Linked DNA regions of Ovis aries. Each later gene encodes a partner of the first gene's protein in a complex. Links are inferred from orthologs where the notes say so. Each region holds a gene or a part of one and is shown on either strand. Other genes may lie near its edges.

Evidence for each region. The genes of interacting proteins can lie anywhere in the genome.
Region 2: ING3 (region 1) and MORF4L2 share a complex: the UniProt entries of both Homo sapiens proteins name them as parts of the nuA4 histone acetyltransferase complex. The link is inferred for Ovis aries from reciprocal best matches to the Homo sapiens genes ING3 and MORF4L2.

What each region holds. Positions count from the first base shown.
Region 1 is NC_056057.1:87,069,349-87,080,367, forward strand, and holds the start of ING3 (inhibitor of growth protein 3), read left to right. Parts: upstream 1-3,896; 5' UTR 3,897-4,014; coding exon 4,015-4,042; intron 4,043-4,287; coding exon 4,288-4,359; intron 4,360-7,034; coding exon 7,035-7,135; intron 7,136-9,125; coding exon 9,126-9,191; intron 9,192-11,019. UniProt on the Homo sapiens protein: Component of the NuA4 histone acetyltransferase (HAT) complex which is involved in transcriptional activation of select genes principally by acetylation of nucleosomal histones H4 and H2A.
Region 2 is NC_056080.1:129,267,331-129,278,124, reverse strand, and holds the start of MORF4L2 (mortality factor 4-like protein 2), read left to right. Parts: upstream 1-4,493; 5' UTR 4,494-4,552; intron 4,553-5,808; exon of another isoform or gene 5,809-5,880; intron 5,881-7,283; 5' UTR 7,284-7,369; intron 7,370-8,031; 5' UTR 8,032-8,100; intron 8,101-10,794. UniProt on the Homo sapiens protein: Component of the NuA4 histone acetyltransferase complex which is involved in transcriptional activation of select genes principally by acetylation of nucleosomal histone H4 and H2A.

The DNA.
Region 1 (11,019 bases):
AAATTACAAGATGCTTACTCCTTCGAAGAAAAGTTATGACCAACCTAGATAGCATATTCAAAAGCAGAGATATTACTTTGCCTACAAAGGTCCGTCTAGTCAAGGCTATGGTTTTTCCAGTGCTCATGTATGGATGTGAGAGTTGGACTGTGAAGAAAGCTGAGTGCCGAAGAATTGATGCTTTTGAAGTGTGGTGTTGGAGAAGACTCTTGAGAGTCCCTTGGACTGCAAGGAGATCCAACCAGTGCATTCTAGTAGAGATCAGCCCTGGGTGTTCTTTGGAAGGAATGATGCTAAAGTTGAAACTCCAGTACTTTGGCCACCTCATTCGAAGAGTTGACTCATTGGAAAAGACTCTGATGCTGGGAGGGATTGGGGGCAGGAGGAGAAGGGGACGACAGAGGATGAGATGGCTGGATGGCATCACCGACTTGATGGACGTGAGTTTGAGTGAACTCCAGGAGTTGGTGAACAGGGAGGCCTGGCATGCTGCAAATCATGGGGTCGCAAGGAGTCAGACACGACTGAGCAACTGAACTGAACACTCCTATAACTTTGTTACTATTGCTATTTCTGGTTTACAGACTAGGAAACAGAGGCACAGAGTGTTAAAATAACTCTCAATAGCACACAACTCATGTTATCAAAGTGACAAAGAAAAGGAGAAAAAGGCAAGGAAAAAAAACGGAGCTTCTCTGGAGTATCTTCGCAACAGGAGCTTGTGGACCACCTATTTATTGTGCTGAAATTAATGCAATTCTGTCACCCTGACATCAGTTTTCAAGTTTCTTCATTCCCAGTTTAAAATCCCAAGAGAATGCATCTGATAGGTCTGGCTTTGGTCTGTCCTTGGTAAGTTAATGAGCTCTGATTAGCTGTACAGTAATGGAATACAGATATGGTTATCCCTACATAGAAGGGGCCCTTCCTAGAAATGCAGTAGTGGTTGTTAAGTGGGCAGCTACTCCAAGTACTATCTGCTCTATGAGTTAATGATATAAGAAGCTATGACATCTGTGTACAATTTTCTGCAGCTGATACATGGTCCAAGAATAATAACCGTCATTACATACTCTTGGTATAAGATAGGCTCAAGGATGTATTATACAATACAAGCAATACAATCAATATTTTGTAATGAATATAAATGGAAAAAACCCTATTTTATAATAAACTATAAGCGGAAAGCAACCTTTAAAATTGCATGAAAATAAAACATTAAAAAAACAAATATCAAATCATACAGTGTACACTTGAAAGTAATATATGGCACTTATGCTTCAATAAAAAAGAAACAAACAAACAAACAAAACACAAAAATTACATCAAGTAAAATACATAGGGTGTAAGTGCTATAATTTTTTTATTTCTTTGGAGTAGTGGATATAAATTGCCTGAATTGCAAATGATATATTATCTCTGTTTCCTTAATACAGAAAACTCCCTGAAGAAGCTCAAATTATACTGAAATGATGGATTTCTATTTCTATTTCTTCAATTTTTGACAGCATGTCCTTTCAGCTAATTGTGAATGAAACACCTGCTGAAAACAACAAAAAATGCTGGGTTAAAAAATCAAATAAACTGATGTACTAGTAACAAATGAAGAAATTCTCACAGGGGATGAAAAGAAAGGCAGCAAGAAAAATGAGAGCATACTGAGAAGTAAGTGAGGGCCAGGGGGCTTCATGCCTGTCTTGATCAGGAAACTCCAGAAGAAAAAGTCTCCCGTGAGAATCTGTAACAAGCCACTTTGATTTGAGGCCCAAATTCATTCAATCTGTGCAATTCAATAAACCTCAAGTGGATAATTTAATCTGGTACTAGAATTGATGATGCCTCCAAGAGATTTACAGAAGCAAATTCTAATAATCTCTAGGAAAACTTAGTTTTAACTCTGGCCTATAAGAATTTCCAGTTATAACCCTAGAAACACAGCACAGAGTCACAAATAATAACCCACAAGGAGGCAGACACCATGTGCAAAAGTTAGAAGAAACAGCAGACAGCACAAAAGACCCATAACATTTTCAGTACTGGATTTAACAGAGTACAGACTATGCTTAATTTGTATAGGAAATTAGAAAATGGCAGGAAATGAGAAGCAAACAGAACTTTTAAAACTAAAAAGTGTTTGAAAAATTTGAGATGGACCATATAAAAGGCCAAGAGGAACTGGAGGATAAAGTGAGAAATTCTTACCAATGTCCTATAGATGTTCTACGATATAATGGAGAAAAATGAGAAATAAACAACACTAAAAAGATAAAGGGTGAGAATTTTCTATAATTGTTGCAGGACATTATTCCTGATTCAGAAATCCTCTTAAATCCTAAGCATGGTTAAAAAAAGTGTGTGTGTTTTAAGGCAAGAGAAAGGGACGGAAGGAAGGAATTCAAACCTAGATTCGAGACAGCCAGAAGGAAGGGAGGGAGGAAGATTGAAGTCGCTAAATCGTGTCTGACTCTTGCAACCTCATGGACTATAGCCCGCCAGGCTCCTCTGTCCAACGGATTTTCCAGGCAAGAATACTGGACTGGATTGCGAGCCCTGGGTTGGGAAGATCCCCTGGAGAAGGAAATGGCAATCCACTCCAGTACTATTGCCTGGAAAATCCCAAGGACAGAGGAGCCTGGCAGGCTGCAGTCTACCAGTCTATGGGGTCTCAAAGAGTCGGACACGACTGAGCAACTTCACTTCACTTAGCAGAAAATAAGCTAGGTAATTCTCATTGAGACTCAGGTAAATTTCCTTCGCGATTCATCAATCTGACAGGTAACTCTCCTGATTAAGAACAGTGGAAAAGTCTAGTGTATAAGGAAAAAGGAGGGAGAAAAAAATGCAAATGCATAACGTGTTTCAGCTCCAATCTGAAAAACAGAAGTAGAATATTAAATTATGAACTAAAGACACATTTCCCTGGGCGGGTGGGGAAAAGTTAAGTAAAGACAGGTGGAAAATAACCATACTCAATCTCTACTGAGTGTTAACGTCTTTAAGAAAAAGGAAACAAACTCAGCAGTGAAGGGCTAAATATAACACGGTTGAACAAATGCGGGAAGTAATCGAAAGAAAAAAGACAACGTCTGGGGTGACAGACGTTTATACAGTTTATTGATTCAACTTTATATAGTTATTGCAAAAATAACCCACCCATTAGATATTAAGACATCATCCGTTATTCCTGGTTGCTCACTTTTTTTCCCGTGAAGGTGTACGTATAGGTCAATTACATTAGAATGAAGACTAGAAGGACCTCAAAATACAATGTATAAGAGGCTATTGAGAACTATTGATGCATCTTTCAACACAGGAAATATTTACTCCATGTTCTAAGTGTAAACTATTTTAGTTATACGGTAGCCAACCAGACGTCCCATTTGTATCTTTAGGATTGTTTACTGAGGATACATTCCAGCAACGAGCTCTGTTTTAAACAATCCCAATTGCCCGAACTTTGCTGATTATTCTAGCGTTGGAACCTTCGCCGTCTGCCTAGCACTACTTGAAATCCATGACTCACAAACGTCGGGGCATGGAATCACAGAAAGAAAGAACAGGTGAAAAGTTCTTCCCAGTTGTGTTCTGCAGAAGCATACAACTCCCGTCATCCCCCGTGAAAAATCAACAAATAAATAGCGGCACCGCATTTCAGATTCTGCTGCTCACGGCTCGCACCGGCGCCTGGTTTTTGTAGTTTTCTGGTGGAGAATTGCCAGCAAGTTCAAGCTTGTTGGGGAGGGACTAAAACTACACTTCCCACAAGGGGGCGGGGGCGGGGTCCAGTCGGTTTACGTCATTGATTCAGCCAGCCAATGATCACCCCGGGCGGCGGTGAGGCAAGCGCCGTCAGGCGCCAAAGTGCTTTTTTTTTTTACTTTTTTTTTTTTTCCGCCGGAGCCGAGCGGGTGCTGCTAGCGGAGGCGCCATATTGGAAGGGACAAAACTCCGGCGACAGCGAGTGACACAAATAAACCCCTGGACCCCTTCGCTCCCCCAGCTCTAAGGGCCGCGATGTTGTACCTAGAGGACTATCTGGAAAGTGAGTGGGCGGCGCTGGCTGGCCAGTCCGGGGTACCTGCGGGCGGGTGAGGGCGGGAGTAGACCGGCTGGCGGGATGGCGGGAGGGAGGGGGAGGCGGGGGATGTTTCTTTCTCACGGTAACTGCCAGCCTCGTTGTGGGCTGCGGGCTCTCTCGACCCCCCTCGACGCACGCACTCACGCAGTGACGTAAGCGCGTACTTTCGCCGTTGGCCCCGCCCCTCTGACGGAATCTCCCTTTGACAGTGATTGAGCAGCTTCCAATGGACCTGAGGGATCGCTTCACTGAGATGCGCGAGATGGACCTGCAGGTGCAGAGTAAGTCGGCGCGTTTGCCCTTGTTCGCTGCGCGCGTTCAGTGACAGACTTACGTGCCATCGACGTCAGCGGCTCTGGTGTTTGGCTGTCCTCCGGCTCATTCGCTAGTACAGAAGGAGTTGTCAAAAAGAACTGGCAATGCCAAATCTTGCCTCTTCTGTCTACCACACTACTTTTCTCCTGACTTTTACAAGAGAAGGTGGCATTAGAGCATGTATGCTCCTTTCTCGAATTTGGGACTGTGCAATAAAAGTTTCTGTACTTTCTTTGAGTATGTAGATACGATTTAGTGCACATCGGCATAAATGTTGCGAAGGTTTTGACTTGAGACTTTATGTGTAGAACGTAAATTTCAGCATTTCTATTTCTGTTAAAGTTCATGCTAGGCAAAATTCAAGAGCGGACAACACATAGAAGCACAGGTTTATGTAGTTCTTTAGAGACCGTGGTGAACTTGGAATGTCCCATTTGAAAAGTTACATGATAAAGGATGCATTCTCAACTGTCAAACAGTATGATAGTTTGTCAGTCAAAATGGGAAAGGAAATAAAATTTTACAGTAAAGCTTCTTGTCTGCTGTAGCAAAATTTTTCTGTTTTTCTTTTGGTTATAGCTTGGTAGTCTGGATACATTTTCCCGAAAATAACCTTGCTGTTTCACAGAGCAGTATTTAGTTTATATGATCATGTTTTTGATTTAGAGAGGGTAGAGAATAAATAACTTTAGAGGTAACATGGTAAATACAAGGCAAAATTTTGAAACACGAAAACAGTGCTCAGTACCCTTGTAGTCCATCATGCTCTGAAAGAACCTCACACACCTTACCCCTTTGTGAAATGAGTATAATATAGCTTGTCCAGCTGTCTTGTAGATACGCTATATTAAAAATTAAGAATGTGAAATGAATTATGTGATACGTAATTAAAATGTATAACCCAGTGTGCTTTGTTGGCTGTGTGTCACTCTTTTGGTTTGGAGAAGTGTAAGTACTCCTTAACTGTTTAAGGGCTATTCCTGCAGAAGGCATATCTTGATCCCCTGTGTTCTGGCTGCATTTAGACTATAAATAGAATTCAGATTGAGGTAAATTCTTGTGCTGACAGATTTTCTTAGAAAAGTATGGTTAGGGGAAGATCTGGGTTTTGGGGTATGATAAGGAGGAAAGGAGTATCACGGAAAGCAATCAGAGAACAGAACGTTCCAGAGTGGGAATCTTGAGGTAGCTAAGAGCCTGTCCCCCCACTTCTCTGTCACCGCTGCACATACTTCCATACCCATTGATCATGACTGTTCTTTTATGTGATACATAATGCAGGGTGATACATCATGGAAGTCACCTGCTGTTCACATTGTAGTGTAGACGTCTGAATTCTATATTTCTTCACCTTGCTCACAAAATTCGTTTTAACTTTAATGTATTTGAAATGCTAAATATTTGCTAAAGTAGTGTTTTCTACAGGATGGAGCGTAGTCATCAGATAAATCTGAGTTCATTTTAGGGCTTTACTGACTTAATTCATTGGCCTTGACCACAGTACCACTTCTGAGGGATTTTTTATTGTCTTGAGGATTAAAAGAAATACACATAAATTAGAATGTTTAGTACCTGATACAAAGTGGGCATTCAATAAAGGGTAGTTATTATTTTGTACTTTATATCACAAATGTTAAGTTCTCTAACAGTTTCGACTTGATTATATAAATCAGAGGTTTTTTTAAACTTCCATTTTTTACAATAATTAGAATTGTCTAAATTTAATAGGTATTATGAATTAACAAAAGATACCTCTTTGTAAGGTAAGAGATACATTATTATGCACTGCAAAGCTCCCAAACAATATAGTAAAAAGTTTTCCTCAGTTTACCCAGCAACAAAATCCCTTTAATTTTTTCTCTTTTAGCATATAAATGACTGTTCTTAGCACACATTTCAGAAAAAACTTACCTCAAATAAATAATATTGTATATGTGGTGCTTAATGGTATATAGCAAAAGGTTAAAACCTTTTTATCACATTTTCTTGTTGAGAGAAAAGTGAAGATTATCTAGTAGTGCTTTCAACAAGAAATTGTGTTTGGGCGCATCTGCCTGACTTAATATCATTAGTTTGTGACCCCAAGCCTCTACTAGTCAACAACTATGGGATGGAATCTATCTACGTTTGCTGACTACTTTGACTATCCGAAACAGTTTTGAAGTAACAAAAATAAATTTTCATTAGGAGAAAATTATAACTTTTACTAAGGTAATTAGTAAATTATATATATATCACATTTATAAATATATTTATAAAGTATACTTATATTATTAGAGTATATATTTATAGTATATATTAGAGTATAATATATATTATTACATAAAGCATATTTATATTATTACAACATGACATATTTAAATTACAGACCAAGTAAAAGAATTATGTGGTCAGATATTTTACAAAATAAATTGCAAAAATAAATTGTCAGTAGGGAAGGTTATAACTTTTCTTTACGAAGATAATTAAGATATATTTATTTATTTATTTTATTAGAACGTGACGTATTTAAGTTACAGACCAAGTAAAAGAGTGTATGTAGTCAGATATTTTCACATCACATCTTTCTTCACATCAAAGCATGTATATTCAGTATATGAGTTTGGTCATCTAAATATGAAATGTTTTTATTATGTCCTAGATGCAATGGATCAGCTAGAACAAAGAGTCAGTGAATTCTTCATGAATGCAAAGAAAAATAAGCCAGAGTGGCGAGAAGAACAAATGGCTTCCATCAAAAAGGTGTGTTCAACGCTCTGGATGATTTATCTGTAAATACTGGAACTCTCCGAGGAAGATAGGGGATTCCCAGGAGTCGTGACGGTAAAGAATCCACCTGCCAGTGCAGGAGACCTAAGAGACTCGGATTTCATCCCTGGGTCAGAAAGATCCCCTGCAATAGGAAATGGCAACCTGCTCCAGTGTTCTAGCCTGAAAAATTTCATGGACAGAGGAGCCTGGCAAGCTACAGTCCCTGGGGTCACAAAAGACTGAACACGACTTTCAGCAGTTGAAAATTGGACGTAACTGAGCACAGCACAGCTGAGGAAGACATTTTAATATTAAATGGGGGGGGATATCAAAATGAGAGAAAGTTATCAGTAGCTCTTTAGAATTTTAAAATGACTTACAAAATTAAAAATGATTCATTACATTTTAGAGCTTCAGGTGTAGGAACTTTCAAACATTGAAGCATTTTGGTAATTTAGAACAGTATTTCAATAATCAGTGACTAATCAGAGAGTTACAAAGCCATTTAAAAAGTACATTTTTTTCTTTTAATTTGTTTTATTCTAATTATGGGGAATTAAAGTTCCCTTGTCTTAAGATCTATTGGGTTGGCCAAAAAGCTCATTCAGCTCATAAAATGTGATGGAAAAACTCAAATGACCTTTTTGACCAACTCAGTATAGTATCTTCCAATTTGGGCAACAGACTGGGATGAAAATTAGCAACCTTGAAGCATATTTCATATATTGCTAAGTACCTATGTTGGTGGAATCATAGGAGAACAGAATGCTGACAAGTTTTGTAGTACTTAGAGCTCCCTTCCAGATTAGAATGGGTAGCAGCTCTCTCCTCAAGGTTTGCTTTAGAGATATGGTCTAGTTAATTTGCGGACATATTGGAAGAATGATTTACAAGCCCTGGGTTTGATCATGACTCTGCAGTTTGACTTTGTGATGTGGGACATGTCCTTTAATATCTCTGAGTAATAATGGCTCCCTTACCCTTACCCTTCATAGAATTATTCAACTGAGAAAGAAATTTGGAAACTACTTGTGTTATCTGTTTTACTACATGAAGGGAATATTATTTCTGTTAGGAACAAAAACATGAGAATCTTTTGTAGAATTAACCCTGACTTGCAGGATACCTGGAGGCCCGAGTGTGTGTGAGTATAGACATCACACATATACATCCTAAAGTCATTCATCATCCCCTTTTCCTACTAAGTTTCTGGTGCAGCACAGCCTGGATATACCCTAAAAACTCTTGACAGTTCATGGAAATTCATAGAATTTAAGAAAAAATAGTTTGTTTTATACTGGAGAGAACTGATACCTAGCTTAAAATGAGAGTCGCAGAACAACTGCACAATGGATGTGCAGGTCAGAAGCCTTTCAGTAGTTCTTTATAATAAGTGTTAAAAATGGAGAGTGTAAACACTCTTTACAAACTAGATGAATCCTAAGTAACATCTATTTTTAAAGAAAAAGAATTACTCTTTGGCTGACCTAATTTTGACTAGTATAGCTAGACCTGGATGGTGTTTATTTGTTATCTCTTTTCTAGGAATTCTGAACATCTTCCTTTAATCCTTGGTTGTTGTCTAAGATTTCTAATACTATCCCATCCCCACCCTATACCTAACTGGATTTTTATGGCTCATGTATAATGTATGTTCCTGAGTGCTTAGTCACTCAGTCGTGTCTGACTCTTTGCAACCCCATGGACTGGAGTCCTCCAGGTTCCTCTGTCCATAGGATTCTCCAGGCAAGAATACTGGAGTAGATAACCATTCTCTTTTCCAGGGGATTGTCCCAACACAAGGATTGAACCTAGGTCTCCCTCATTGCAGGTTGATTCTTTACCATCGGAGCCACCAGGGAAGCTCTGTAATGACTGACAGTGATAACAAGCCATGATAATGCAAATGCAGTTATAGGTCCTGGATACACAGATTTTTAAGTTATTAATTTGTTCCTGAAACATGAATGTTTTTATTCAGGATTACTATAAAGCTTTGGAAGATGCAGACGAGAAGGTTCAGTTGGCAAACCAGATATATGACTTGGTAAGTAAAAATTAATAGCCATAAGTATTTGAATTATGGATTATGTTTTAAATGGTGTTGACTTAAATGTAATAGGAAGGACAGACTAAACTGAATTATTGCTCGTTGGATCTCATTTAACTTCAGAGTTCACTGTCCACTTTTTGATTTCTTTGTGGAAGAGAGAGAGTCCACAGTCAGTAAGTTAAGAACCTTACATTTAGCCATATCTACGTCACTGTAAGATTGTAGCTGTTGTTAGGCTTTTTTTTTGTATTAAAATAGGTGCTTAACTTTATTTTACTAATTTTTATCTTCTTAAGGTAGTGTGTTTACTTGCCCAATAAAACATCTTGAGATAGTTTCTGTGGCAGAACTCTCCTAAGGGGATTGTGCTGACAGTTCTTGGTAGTCCTGATTAAAGTGAAAAAGGGACCTACTTGAATCTGTTAATAGATAGTACTCAGCTGTCTATTAAGTGAAATTCATTAGATAGTACTCAACAACTGGCACACGTGGCAAAACTGGGAAATACAAGATTAAATAGACTTAAAAATTTTTTTCTTTTTTTAACAGTAGCAGCAGCACTTCTTAATGATTGAAATCACTAAGAAGATAGATATATGCAATATTTCTCAGGTTGTTATAGTCTGTCTTCTTCTTTTGTTTTAATGTACAGCGTGTCCCAAAGTTTATGTTTTAGGAAATGCTCTTTTTTGGTTCTGCCTCAAAGCAAGTTAAAGCTAGAGACAAATGTTTCCTTTTGATTTGCTTTAGCATATTGATTCATATCTTATTTTTGTAGTCTTGTCTGGGTACAGTTTTTTTATTGAACGGGTACATGTTAATATAGGTGTCATTGGTGAGTAAGACACAGATAAAAGGTACATACCCCATATGCTATGCATTGTGAGTGCTATACTAAACTAGAAAATATATGTTGTATAAAACCACAGAAAATGGTTAATTGCTTTTATATAGTGAAAGTATTTTAATGGCTGTAACAACCTAGGCTGTTTTGTTCATCAGTTCAGTTCAGTCGCTCAGTCGTGTCCGACTCTTTGCGACTCCATGAATCGCAGCACGCCAGGCCTCCCTGTCCATCAGTTACTCTAAAAACAGTTTCATAAAAGATGCTGCCTAAAGACGGGTAGAGTGGGCTGGTGGCTTGATTTATGGTGGAATGAAACCCAAATAAAGTTCTTAATTGTTTTGGTCTTGAATTAAGTCTATAAACAAAGAGAAAGACATTTATATTTGAATACAGGCTAATTTGTTTGTTATCATTCTTCCTCACATATAGTGACTAGTTCTCAACCTTTATTTAAAAACTACCTGCTTTTTAAACCATGTAGTTCTTTGGCTATAATCTTTCGTTTCTATTTTATTTTACTACTTTTACATCTTTATTAAAAGTATTTCATGCATTTAGAAAAAGTATATATAACAAACATTTGCTTTTTAAATGTGTGTGTGTATCGATCTCTTGTTTACAAACCACGCTGTTCATCGACTCTGTACTTGGTGTAATGGAGTTTTATGTAGGTACAGTGGAGGAATGAAGAGTAAATGTTATAAATGCTCCTGACCTCAAGGTGCCTGTTACCTAGTTGGGAAGACATGCCCGCAGTAAAATGGACAGCCTGTTATAGAAACATGTTAACAAATAAACATGAATACATTTGGATATTAAGGGGATCTGGTAAAGATTGAACTAAATCAAGCAGAGTTACTATTGGCTTCTTAGAGGGTATGAGATGAGTTTTGAACAGAATTTATTTAGTGCCTCAGGCGCCTGGATTCAGCATAATATTGAGGGGAAAGCATTTCACTCAGAGGTCATGGAAAA
Region 2 (10,794 bases), on another chromosome or scaffold:
GAAGGTCATTCAAGGACTACATCGCTTAGATGCAAGTTCTCAGTCACTTATAGTAACCTCTTTCTGCCACATAGATGGGTTAGTTGAAGCAGAGGGGGTTTGATTATAGGAGAGGAGAGGTATTAGAAGAGAATAGATAACCCCGAAAAGGATAAAACTTTCCCATGACTAGCTCCATCATTGGCCCTGTCTGTCATGGGCTAGCAAACTAGACTGATCCAGACTAATTTGCCGAACTGGTTTTATGAAATCCCTACGGAACGAGGTAGGTATAAATAGATAGAAAAAACATTGTTATTAAAGAAACACCATTTTGCTTAGCCTCGAAATATTAGGGTTTTTTTTTTTAACTTTTAACTTAACCAATCATTCTTCAAACAAACAAACAAACACCCAGTAAGCCCCATGTGCTTAGCTGCTCAATTGTGTCCAACCTCTTGCGACCCCATGGACTGTAGCCCGCCAGGCTTCTCTGTCCATGGGAATCCTCCAGGGAAGAATACTGGAGTTGGTTGCCATGCCCTCCTCCGAAGGATCTTCCCAACCCAGGGCTTGAACCCAGGTCTTCCACATTGCAGGTGAATTCTTTACCATCTGAGCCACCAGAACCCAGTAAGCTAGTCAGAACCAAATGAAAAAATAGCAAATTAACCTTAGAATAGAGCAATTTCATCTACTACCCAGAAGCCATGGGAAGATACTGGTGTCCCTCTTTATATTCCAGAAGAGACTGACCACTACCTTCCAGACCTAGGAAGAGACCTAGGCTCTTCCAGACCTAGGCTAAGAAATTAGCCAAAGGGTAAGACAAGCAAGGCCAACAGATACCTTTGGGCAGGGTAGGTCCCACCCTGCACAAGGGTACCCAACTGAGAGGGAGCAAATGGAGGCTGAAATTCATTCTTCAACTGCCCTAGTGGCCTCCAACATCCCTGAGAAAGAAAAACATTTTTCTAACTGTTCCTCTAGTGTGGCTGCTTCTCTGCAATTTGTCTGCCCCCACGTGGCGCATGTTTCTAATTAGCACAAAGGCATCATATGAGCAAATAGTAGCCTTAAAAATTAACTTAGAGATCTTAGAGCCGTCAGGTGTTGCGAAGGCTGCAACCATGAATAACCTTTGTCTGGCCTTGGGCCTTGAAACTAAACATTGACTGAAGCTATCTTTCCCTTCCTGTTAACTCAGACTGTGAAGACAGTAATTCAGCTGTAAAATGAAAAGGAAGAAGAGTAACTCACATTTGCTGAAAATCTGAAAATCTATTAAGAGTCAGGAATCTGCTGAAGCTTCATCCCACTAGTAAGTGGAAGGGGCAGGAGATAATTCACCTTTGAGTGGGCACCATGACATAATAGGAAAAATCATGGGTTTTGGAGTCACAAGAGAGAACTCTGAATCTTTGCCCTGCTGTTTACTAGTTGGCAACTTGAAGTGAATATTTAACTTCTCTGGGCTTCAGTGAGGAGTCACAAAGATAATAGATATAAAGAGCTGAGCATAGTGCTGCCTGGCACATATAAGGCATTCAGCTCCTATGTCTTTTTCTGCTACCACCCTGACTCCAAAGTTAATTCACATTATTCACACCATTGGCCTTTAGGACCTCGTTCAATAGAGCATAAGGACGAGTCTGTGCTGTGCTGCTCTGCTCAGTCGTGTCTGACTCTTTGTGACCCCGGGGGCTGTAGTCTGCCAGGCTCTTCCGTCCATGGGATTTCCCAGGCAAGAATACATGGAGTGGGTTGCCATTTCCTTTGCCAAGGTAACTTCCAGACTTAGGGATCAAACCAACATCTCCTGCAATATCAGGCAGATTCTTTACCACTGAGCCACCTGGGAAGCCCCCAAGAATGGGTCTACCAGACAGAATATTGAAGTGAGAGTCAGGAGACATCGGTCCCAATGCCAGACACCTCCCTTGATGTACACTGAGTAAGTTACTCCCCTCTCCTGATCCCATCAATAAAACAAGAGAACACGTCTAGCTCTGATGCTGAAAGGCAAGAGCAGAGGAAATTACTTTTCTTGAGCACCTGCCATGATATACACACCAAGTTAGGCCCTTTTGCATACCTTATATACATATGCTAAATCAGCACTGTCCCATAAAACTTTCTGATGTTGGGAATGTTCTGTATCTGACAATATCTAATTTGGTACTAACACTAGCCATAAGTATCTACTGAGCCCTTGAAATGTGCATAGTGCAACTGAGGAACTAAATTTTTTATTTTATTTAAATTTAACTAATTCAAATTTAAATACCCATGTATTTAGACAGTGGTTACTGTATTAGATACTGCAGCTCTAAGATAATGAAGCAGGAATATTTGTTCCCATTTACTGTATGTTGAAACTGGGGCTTAGAAAAATTTATGAATTTGCTGAAAGTAACATAAATAGTAAATAAACCAGATTCAAAACCAAGCAGTAGAAAGTTTAGCAGCTTAGTACTGTCAAATACACCAGGAATTACCTAGGCTCCACTACTCACAAGTTATATAACCAAAGAGAGATAATTATAGTCTCTAGAATTCACTTTCATCGTCTATAAAATAGGGATAATCATCGCCTAATTTGTAGGCTTACTGTTGAGATTAATAGGTTAGAGCTATATAGAGTGTGGCTTTCAGCAACTGTGTTTCCTCACCACCCTTTTACCTCAGCCCCACACAGAAGAGGTTTAGACAGAAACTAAAAAAGATAACTGTAAGGTAGAGGGGGCATTTGGGAAAAATAAAAGCAAGAACGGAAACACTTACGAGCTTTCATATGTTATCTTTCATAGAATGGAGTTGAGGGAAGGTATGAAATCATCAAACTGCTTCCACTTATTTGGTTTGCTTCCTTGCCGTATTCTTGATACTCCAGTCAATGTTAGCCAAGGCAGGGAACAAGGTATATATAATGTATTCTGAGGCCCCAAAAGATAAGATAATGCAGCTGAACAACACAGTACTGTCAAGGGCATGGGCTCCAAGGGCAGGTAAAGGTCAATCCTGGCTCCCAAATTTTGTATGCACAAAATAACAGACACCACTTCACAACAGTCTTTCATCTGTGAAACAGGACAGATAGCATGCAGGGTGTCTCAATAAAAAACATATGTTTATTATTTTGCTTTACATTCTGTAGCACCCTCTAGTGGAGTGTACAAAAATAAGCATTATATTTCTACCCTCCAAGAAGTGTGCATTGGAATCACCAGAATAGTTTGTTATAACACAGACACCCAAACCCTAACAACTACTAGAATTTCTGATTAGTTTGGAGGTGAGAATCTAAATTTCTGACAATTCCCCACCAGGTGGTGCTATTGGTGTGTCTGGAAAACACTTTGAGAACCTCTGCTCTAAATCCCACCCCTCCCCAAAGGGTGCACGTGTGTGCCCAGAAACACATATGCACACACACACAAACGTATGGAATCTATAACTGAAATAAGTATAACTTGTGTTGTTTGATTTTATTAGTATGCCTCTAACAAGGATTTTGTGAAGAATTAAAGAATATCATGTGATATGACACATCTAAAATATAGAAAGCATGCAAAAAAACAGGATCACAGAACATAAATCCCAGGTTCTCAGAACTAGTAAGTGGTGGAATCGGGCTCAAAATTAGGCCTCTAATTAGGCCTCTAAACTCCAAAAACATAATAAAGTTTCACAGTACTACTGCAGAAGACAGGGTGAAAACACAAATATCCGATCATAATTTCAAAAGTGAAAGATCAGTTTTCAATCCCAGGGTCCAAGCCCAGTGAAGACAAATGTCTGTACTGACCAGAAAACCACCTGTGTTTTCCCTGCAGCAGAGCAGGGGTCAGGGTGAGGTGGTAAAGCGGGGCAGGTGGCAGCATTTGAAAAGATCCTAACCCCACAGAAAGGGTTAGAATCTTCGTATCTTCATCGGCGTCAGTGCTTGGGGGTCATTCATCAAAAATCCCATGGACGGAGGAGCCTGGTGGGCTGCAGTCCATGGGGTCGCGAAGAGTCAGACACGACTGAGCGACTTCACTTTCACTTTTCACTTTCATGCATTGGAGAAGGAAATGCAACCCACTCCAGTGTGCTTGCCTGGAGAATCCCAGGGACGGGGGGAGCCTGGTGGGCTGCCGTCTATGGGGTCGCACAGAGTCAGACACGACTGAAGCGACTTAGCAGCAGCAGCAGCACCCCCAAAAAAGGCAAGAAGAAAGAGATGGGAGGGGGAATTTTTTTTTTAAGGAGGAAAGAAGTAAAGAAAGGAGGTAAACATTTGAATAGAGCCCTACCTGGTAGGGCTATTAATAAGTTAATTTGATTTTTCTCGAGAAATGAAAGATATATATGATCTTTATAGATTGGAAAGCTCAGCAAATCAGAAAAAAAAAAAAAAAAAGATGGGGGAATCCCATAATTCCAGGGACCAAACAGCCAATCCTTTGCTGGAATTTGGCGGCATCTAGTGGCAAACTCAAAAGGTATAAACCTCACACGGAGAACTTTCTGGAAAATTAGAGTGCATACTTGCGTTAAGAGCACTCTGCCTGGAAATCAGAACAAGCAGGTAAGAGAGCCTCAGCTCCCACAGAAATTCGGAGTCCCTAGTGGAGGGGAAGTCTGTCGTGTACAGATATTCTCAGCAAAATATTGTGGCAGAACTGGACGCAACTTGGGGGTGGGGGATGGACGGGGGAAGGAGCGGGGGTTGGGGGAAGACGGCTATTAGGGAACAGCAAAGCTGCTTTTTGGAACTGCTAGTAAGCGAATGGGGGATTTGGTTGTTAACCGCTGCTGGGCTACGGCTTAGAACGGGATTTTTGATTCGGAGATAGACGTGGGAAGAAAGTGTATTTTTAGGGTTTAAAATCAAATCGATAGGGGAGACCGAAGTATTTCTAGCGAAAATCCTTTATCTCAGTGATGGTCGCCATAACTTAATTGCTTAAATTTCCGTTTTATAAGAATAATTTTCAAACATAAGTAGAAAAATGATCCGCATAGAACGCGCGCGCTCACGCGCGCACACACGCGCACGCACCCGCCCCAGAACACACACCAGCCCCGACGCTAGGGGCGCACGCCTGCGCACACCAGCCACCTCCAGCGCCACGAGGCCTGGCGTTCGCGCACACGCCAACGCCAAGGCCACGCGGGCTCGCTTGCGCACAGGAGCCCTGACACCGCGCGCCCGCAGTACCCCCCACCCCCAACTCGCACACACATCAAAACCCCCAGTCAACCTTTATTTTTTTTTTTTCCTCCGGGAGTTGCGCAAGAGGTTCGGGGGCGTGGCCGCAGATTTGACCTAGCGCTTCCCCACTCGCGGGGACCTTAGCTCATTTCCGCCCATCCTGTTTCCGCAGGCCACGTAGACACTTCCTTTCCCAGTTGGGGGGGAACCCACAATGCCTCCCTGCAGGAAAAAAAAAAAAAAGAAAGAAACCTCTGGGCAGGGGAACTCTGGGTCGTGAAAGTGGGCCACGTGAACACTCTGCCCTATAGACTTATGACCCAACCGCTGTCGCGCTTTTGGAGGGCGGGCTGAAAACCTAAGAGGGCGAACGTCATTGGTCAGAGCCCTCACTAAAGGAGAAAGGTAATTGGTTTCCTTCAAGCCTTAACGGTGAAGAAGCAGGTTGCTAGCACCCGCCTTTACTGCGGCGGAGTGTCATTGCTGACGTGGTGAGCTTCATCCAATCATTTGGTTATAGAACATTCTAAAACTTAGATGAGACGATTGTGATTGGCTGTAGGGCATAAGCCCGCCTCCAGGGTGACGTGTCTGCCTATGGATATCAGTTGCCAGAGAAACCTGGCTTTACTATGGCGGTTGGAGAGTCGGCAGTGATCACACGTCGTCGTCTGTCGGAAAGAACTGGATCCTCGTTTCAGGTTTCGGGGTGGGGGTGGGGAGAAAGGGTTGACGATTTCCTCTTATCGTCGCGTATACAGACAAGATTAATTAATGGCTTTACTATCGGGCAGAACTAGATTCGAATTCCTACTCGCCAACGCCCAGCTTGGGCTGGCTGTTCTTTCTGTGTCTCGGTTTCCATGTTTGTAAAATGGTGATAATAATAGTATCTGTCTCAGAGACTTGTGCCTCAGAGGCGTGTGCTGTATATTAGAGCGTATAATATACGACTGCTAGGTAATGTAATACGTATAATAACTTAATACGCACCGTGGCTCCGGAAGACGTTAGCTATTACTGTGGAGAGAAAAACCCGCGTAATAGAGTGAGAAAAAACGTAAAATTATGTAAAGTCGTTCCTTACAGTGCTTTTCCTATCACCTCCTTCCGTAAAAGAAATTCGAGATACAAAAGAGACGTATCAGTCTTTACCAATGAAATAATTTATTTGACAATTACCTCAAAATAGCGGGGATTGGAATTTTCCGTATTGAAAAGTTAAAAAAAAAAGCGGGGGTGGGGAGAAACGGAGAATGAGGAATGAGAGCTAGCTGGAGATGAACCACATGCGATGAGTAGGCCTTGTTTGAATCCTGATTCGGGGAAATCAACTATAAAAAAATACTTAAAGGTGCATCAGGAAATTTTAAAGACGGATTCGACATTTGATTTTTTTTAAGGAATTAATGACGATGTTTTTAGACGTTGTAATGATACTGTGGTTATGTTTTCAAATTGCCTGTAGCTTACAGAAATATACGAAAATACGAATTAAACAATAAAAGCATTCAGACTGGCTTCAAAATACCTTGATGTCTAGGATTTGCTTCAGAATTAGCTCAGCGGTAAGGGGAGGTGGCGAGGGGCATAGATAAAACAAAATTGGCACTAAATGAATCGTTTAAGCTGAGTGATGAGCTTATGGGATTCCTTGTATTGTTCTAGCTTCCTTGGTATATGTTTGAATTTTTCCATAATAAAATACAGAAAGTCAGCTATTCAGTGCTCTTGAGAAAAACAAGAGTGGGGGGGGGGGCGGCGAGCAGTGGGTGGGGTTACAGATAAAACAAGATGGCCTTCAGTTGGTAATTGTTGAAGCTGGATGATAGATTCGCAAAGGTTTATATTATTCCCCTACATTTTTATCCATTTGAAATTATCCTTAATAAAACTTAGAAAAAAGCAAAAACAAATTATCGGAAATCATGATAAATGTACAATAAGGTAAATTTGAAAATGTAGCCACAAGAAAGGGGGAAAAATCTTGTACGTATTTTATCAGCTTTGGTGTCCTTTGTGTATGTTAAAATGCATTGGTGGAAAACAAAACGTTCATCTCATATCTTTATGTCCTTTGCTGTCCCCTTGTTTGACCTTCTAGACTACCATCAGAAAAACTAAGTTTGCTGTGTAGTGAGGATCAGGTCTGATCCTGATTGCAGAACATCCCTCATTACAGAATCTTGGGTAAGTGCCTCCCTTCTCCTGGCCTCAGTTCTGAAACAAGATAATTCCACATAACCATGATAACTATCTAGGAATATTTTGAGGATTAATAAGGGCCTGTCGAGGAAAGCACTCTACATTCTAAGAATGGAAGGATGGAGCTAAGTCCATCTGTGCTTTCAGTATAGAAAGTGCCTAAAAATCAGTGGGCCCTGTAATCTTACATTCCTTGGTAAAGGATACTCTCTAATACTGCCTATAGTTAGAGCTGTGCATCTATATATATATTTTTTAAAGTTTGTGGCATTCCCTATGCAACATAATTGAGTGGTCAAGAGCAAATACTGACTTCCTGAATTTAAATCCTGGTTCTGCCACTCACTGTAGGATCCTGGGCAGAATACTTACTCACTCTGTCTCTAAAGTTCCTCATCTGTAAAATAAAGATAATGGTTCCTACTTCATTGGATTATTAAGGAAATTACATGTAAATTGTTTGGCACATATAAGTAGTTGATTTAATTAATCATTGTGACTATTAGTCCTTCTGGTACATCCTGTTTTACACACTTGTGCATATGCACATATGCACACACGCACTAATAAAAGCAATAGATACCTTTTTGGAGTTGTTAATAATAATAATAATAATAATACTGTTGATTTCTCTCCTGATTTTCCAGAAGCAGCGGTTACTACTAGAACTGAATTCTGAAATTATAACTTCTGACTTATCCTAACACTCTAGAAAGGTATTGAGTATGTTGATCATATTTATTTATAAGGAAATTTCTAGAAACTGTAATTTTTAACTAGCAAATCAAAACCATATTCAGTCTGCTAACAGGTTTTATATTATTCCTCTTTTGTCTCAGACTCAAAAAATAAAATGTTAAACATTAATGTTCCAAGATCCAGAATTGATATAAATGTAACTGACACAGTGTATATGCATTTAAAGATTTATTCCAACAAACCACTGGATTTGTTCACATTCATTTCTGACACAGTCATACACAAAAATGTCAGTAAATGGAGTCTGTATTCCTGAATAGCCCATCATTTGGGTGAGGAGATGAAAGAAGGTTTTTCAGTCTCTTGACAGCTTTATTTTCCCATGGAGTCACTATATTTTCCTTGCTACTTCCCGCCCCCCCTTCTGAAAGCTAAGTTGCAGAGGAGGGCACACTGCCCTGGTGGGAAAGATGCAACAGATTGGAAGGGGGAGGGCACAGAACCTCTTCATGGGAGACTATTTGGAGAGTGATTAAAGGTGAAAGAGAGGTGGACTGTTAGGCCAGTAGCAGCCCAGAGAAGGCAAGGGTCAAGGTAACCTGAAGGAGCCTCGAGGGGGAAAAGGACCTTGACCTGGGCCTCTGAGGATGGAGAGAATCCATAAGGGGAGAAGGAAACCAGTTCAAATGTTATGCATGTAAAGTATATGATATACAATGCTTAAGTCCAGCTGTATGTTAGAACCATGAATAAGAATAGATCTGAAAATTAATAATGATTTTAAATATGCATATTTTAGTGTAAATCTTTAGTCACTTAATTGATATGTGAATCAGTCTCATAATATACAAAGCTAAAATGTTACAGAGTAGGCCCAGGTTTCCTTTCCTCACGCCCCCATTTCTCTTACTCTCCTCAGAGTTAACCACTATATTATCAGTTCTATTTCCTTCTAGATCTCTAAATTATGCACCTGTTTAAAATGTAGGATATATATATATATAAAATATTCTTTGGTGTTTTCTTTTACATAAATATGCTATCATAGATACTGTTTGACAACTTGCCTTGGATGTCTTCATGTCCATTATAGAGTTGTTTGATTCCATTCACAGTGGCATTCCTTTAACTAGTATGATAGTCCATATAAAGAGTAAGCCATGTTTTGTTTTGCCAAATCACTATTGATAGTCCTCCAGGTTGACCCCAGTGGTTTTCTGTTTAATTTATACTTCACCAAACATCCTTGGAACCCCTTTACAAGTGTTAATTCCAGGGCAATATTTATGTCTTTAAATTATGATGATTAAACCAGTGTTGATACTGGTGGGAGAGGAAACATCATTATGACAGACTGGATAACCTAGAAACAGTGATACTTTTAAAAATGGAATAATCAAAAATCATTGGAAACTAAGTACCTTTAAAGATCCATATAATTTAGAATGCTATAAAACAATTCAAATCAGTGGGGAAAGGATAGGCTCTATAAATTAGAAAAAAATTAGGCATAATATTTGGAAGAAACTATAAAATACTGAGAGAGAATACAGGAAGTCATTTAGAATATTGATTTGGGAGCATTTTCCCCAGGCATGACATGCCAAAGTTCACAAAGGGAAAAGTTGACACATTTGTGTTTTTATACACACAGTGACCCACTTAGAAGAATAATGACAGTTTGGAAAAAATATTTCTAACACACAAAAACACCTAGTGTTTAATTATTAGAAGTCAATAAAAGACAAAACATAGTAGAAACAGGGACAAAATATATAAGAGATGGATACGTACAAATATCTGAACATATGCTCAGTATCACACAAATTCAAATAAAAATATCTTTCTACATATTAGATTACCCCCCTTTTTTTTTGCCAAAAAGATGTTTATCCAGTGTTGCTGAAGTTGTGGGTGAATAAGCTTAACATTTTTGCTGGGAGTACAAATTAAAACATTTCTTCACAAATTAAATTTATCTCTTAAGTCATCAAAGTTGTAAATAAGCAAACCCTTTGAGCAGTTGAGAATGCCCTTCTGAATACTTACTTAATTCGCTAATATATCTATACACTGATATCTGTTAACAACATTTCTGTAATAATGAAGTGTTGGAAACAGCCTAAATGTTCGTTTATATGGGACTGGTTAAATTATACTCTGTGGAGATTGTAGAACGATGTGGATGTTAAAAAGAATGAGCTAAGTATGTGGCCATAGATGCCTGTGATAAAGTGAGAAAACGTGAGGGGCAATATGTGTCTCACCTTTGTCAAGACAGTGTAAATCCATGATGCATAATCACAATAAGAGCATAACAGACACATTTAGTTTTAAAGTAGGTTTCTGTGTGAATGTGTACATAAAAAGATTTGAAGACATTCTGAGATCAGGGAGGGAAGGTGGTAAGAGGATGCCCATATATATCTATATATTTTGGTGTTTATAATTATGTAATTTTATGATTATGTAAAGGAACTATTACTCAAATGCTACCACAAAATTAATTACTTGGGAATATAGATTTTCAGTTCACAACAAATAGTTTTTGGGTGGGTTGAGGAATTAATATATTTTAAAAATCCATTAAAATGTCATCAATTTTTAAGCTTAATGGAAAAACCACATATTTCATCATATGCATCTTTAAAAATCTCATCAGACACTATAAACTGGGAGAAATATTTGCCCAGATATGACAATTGATAAGC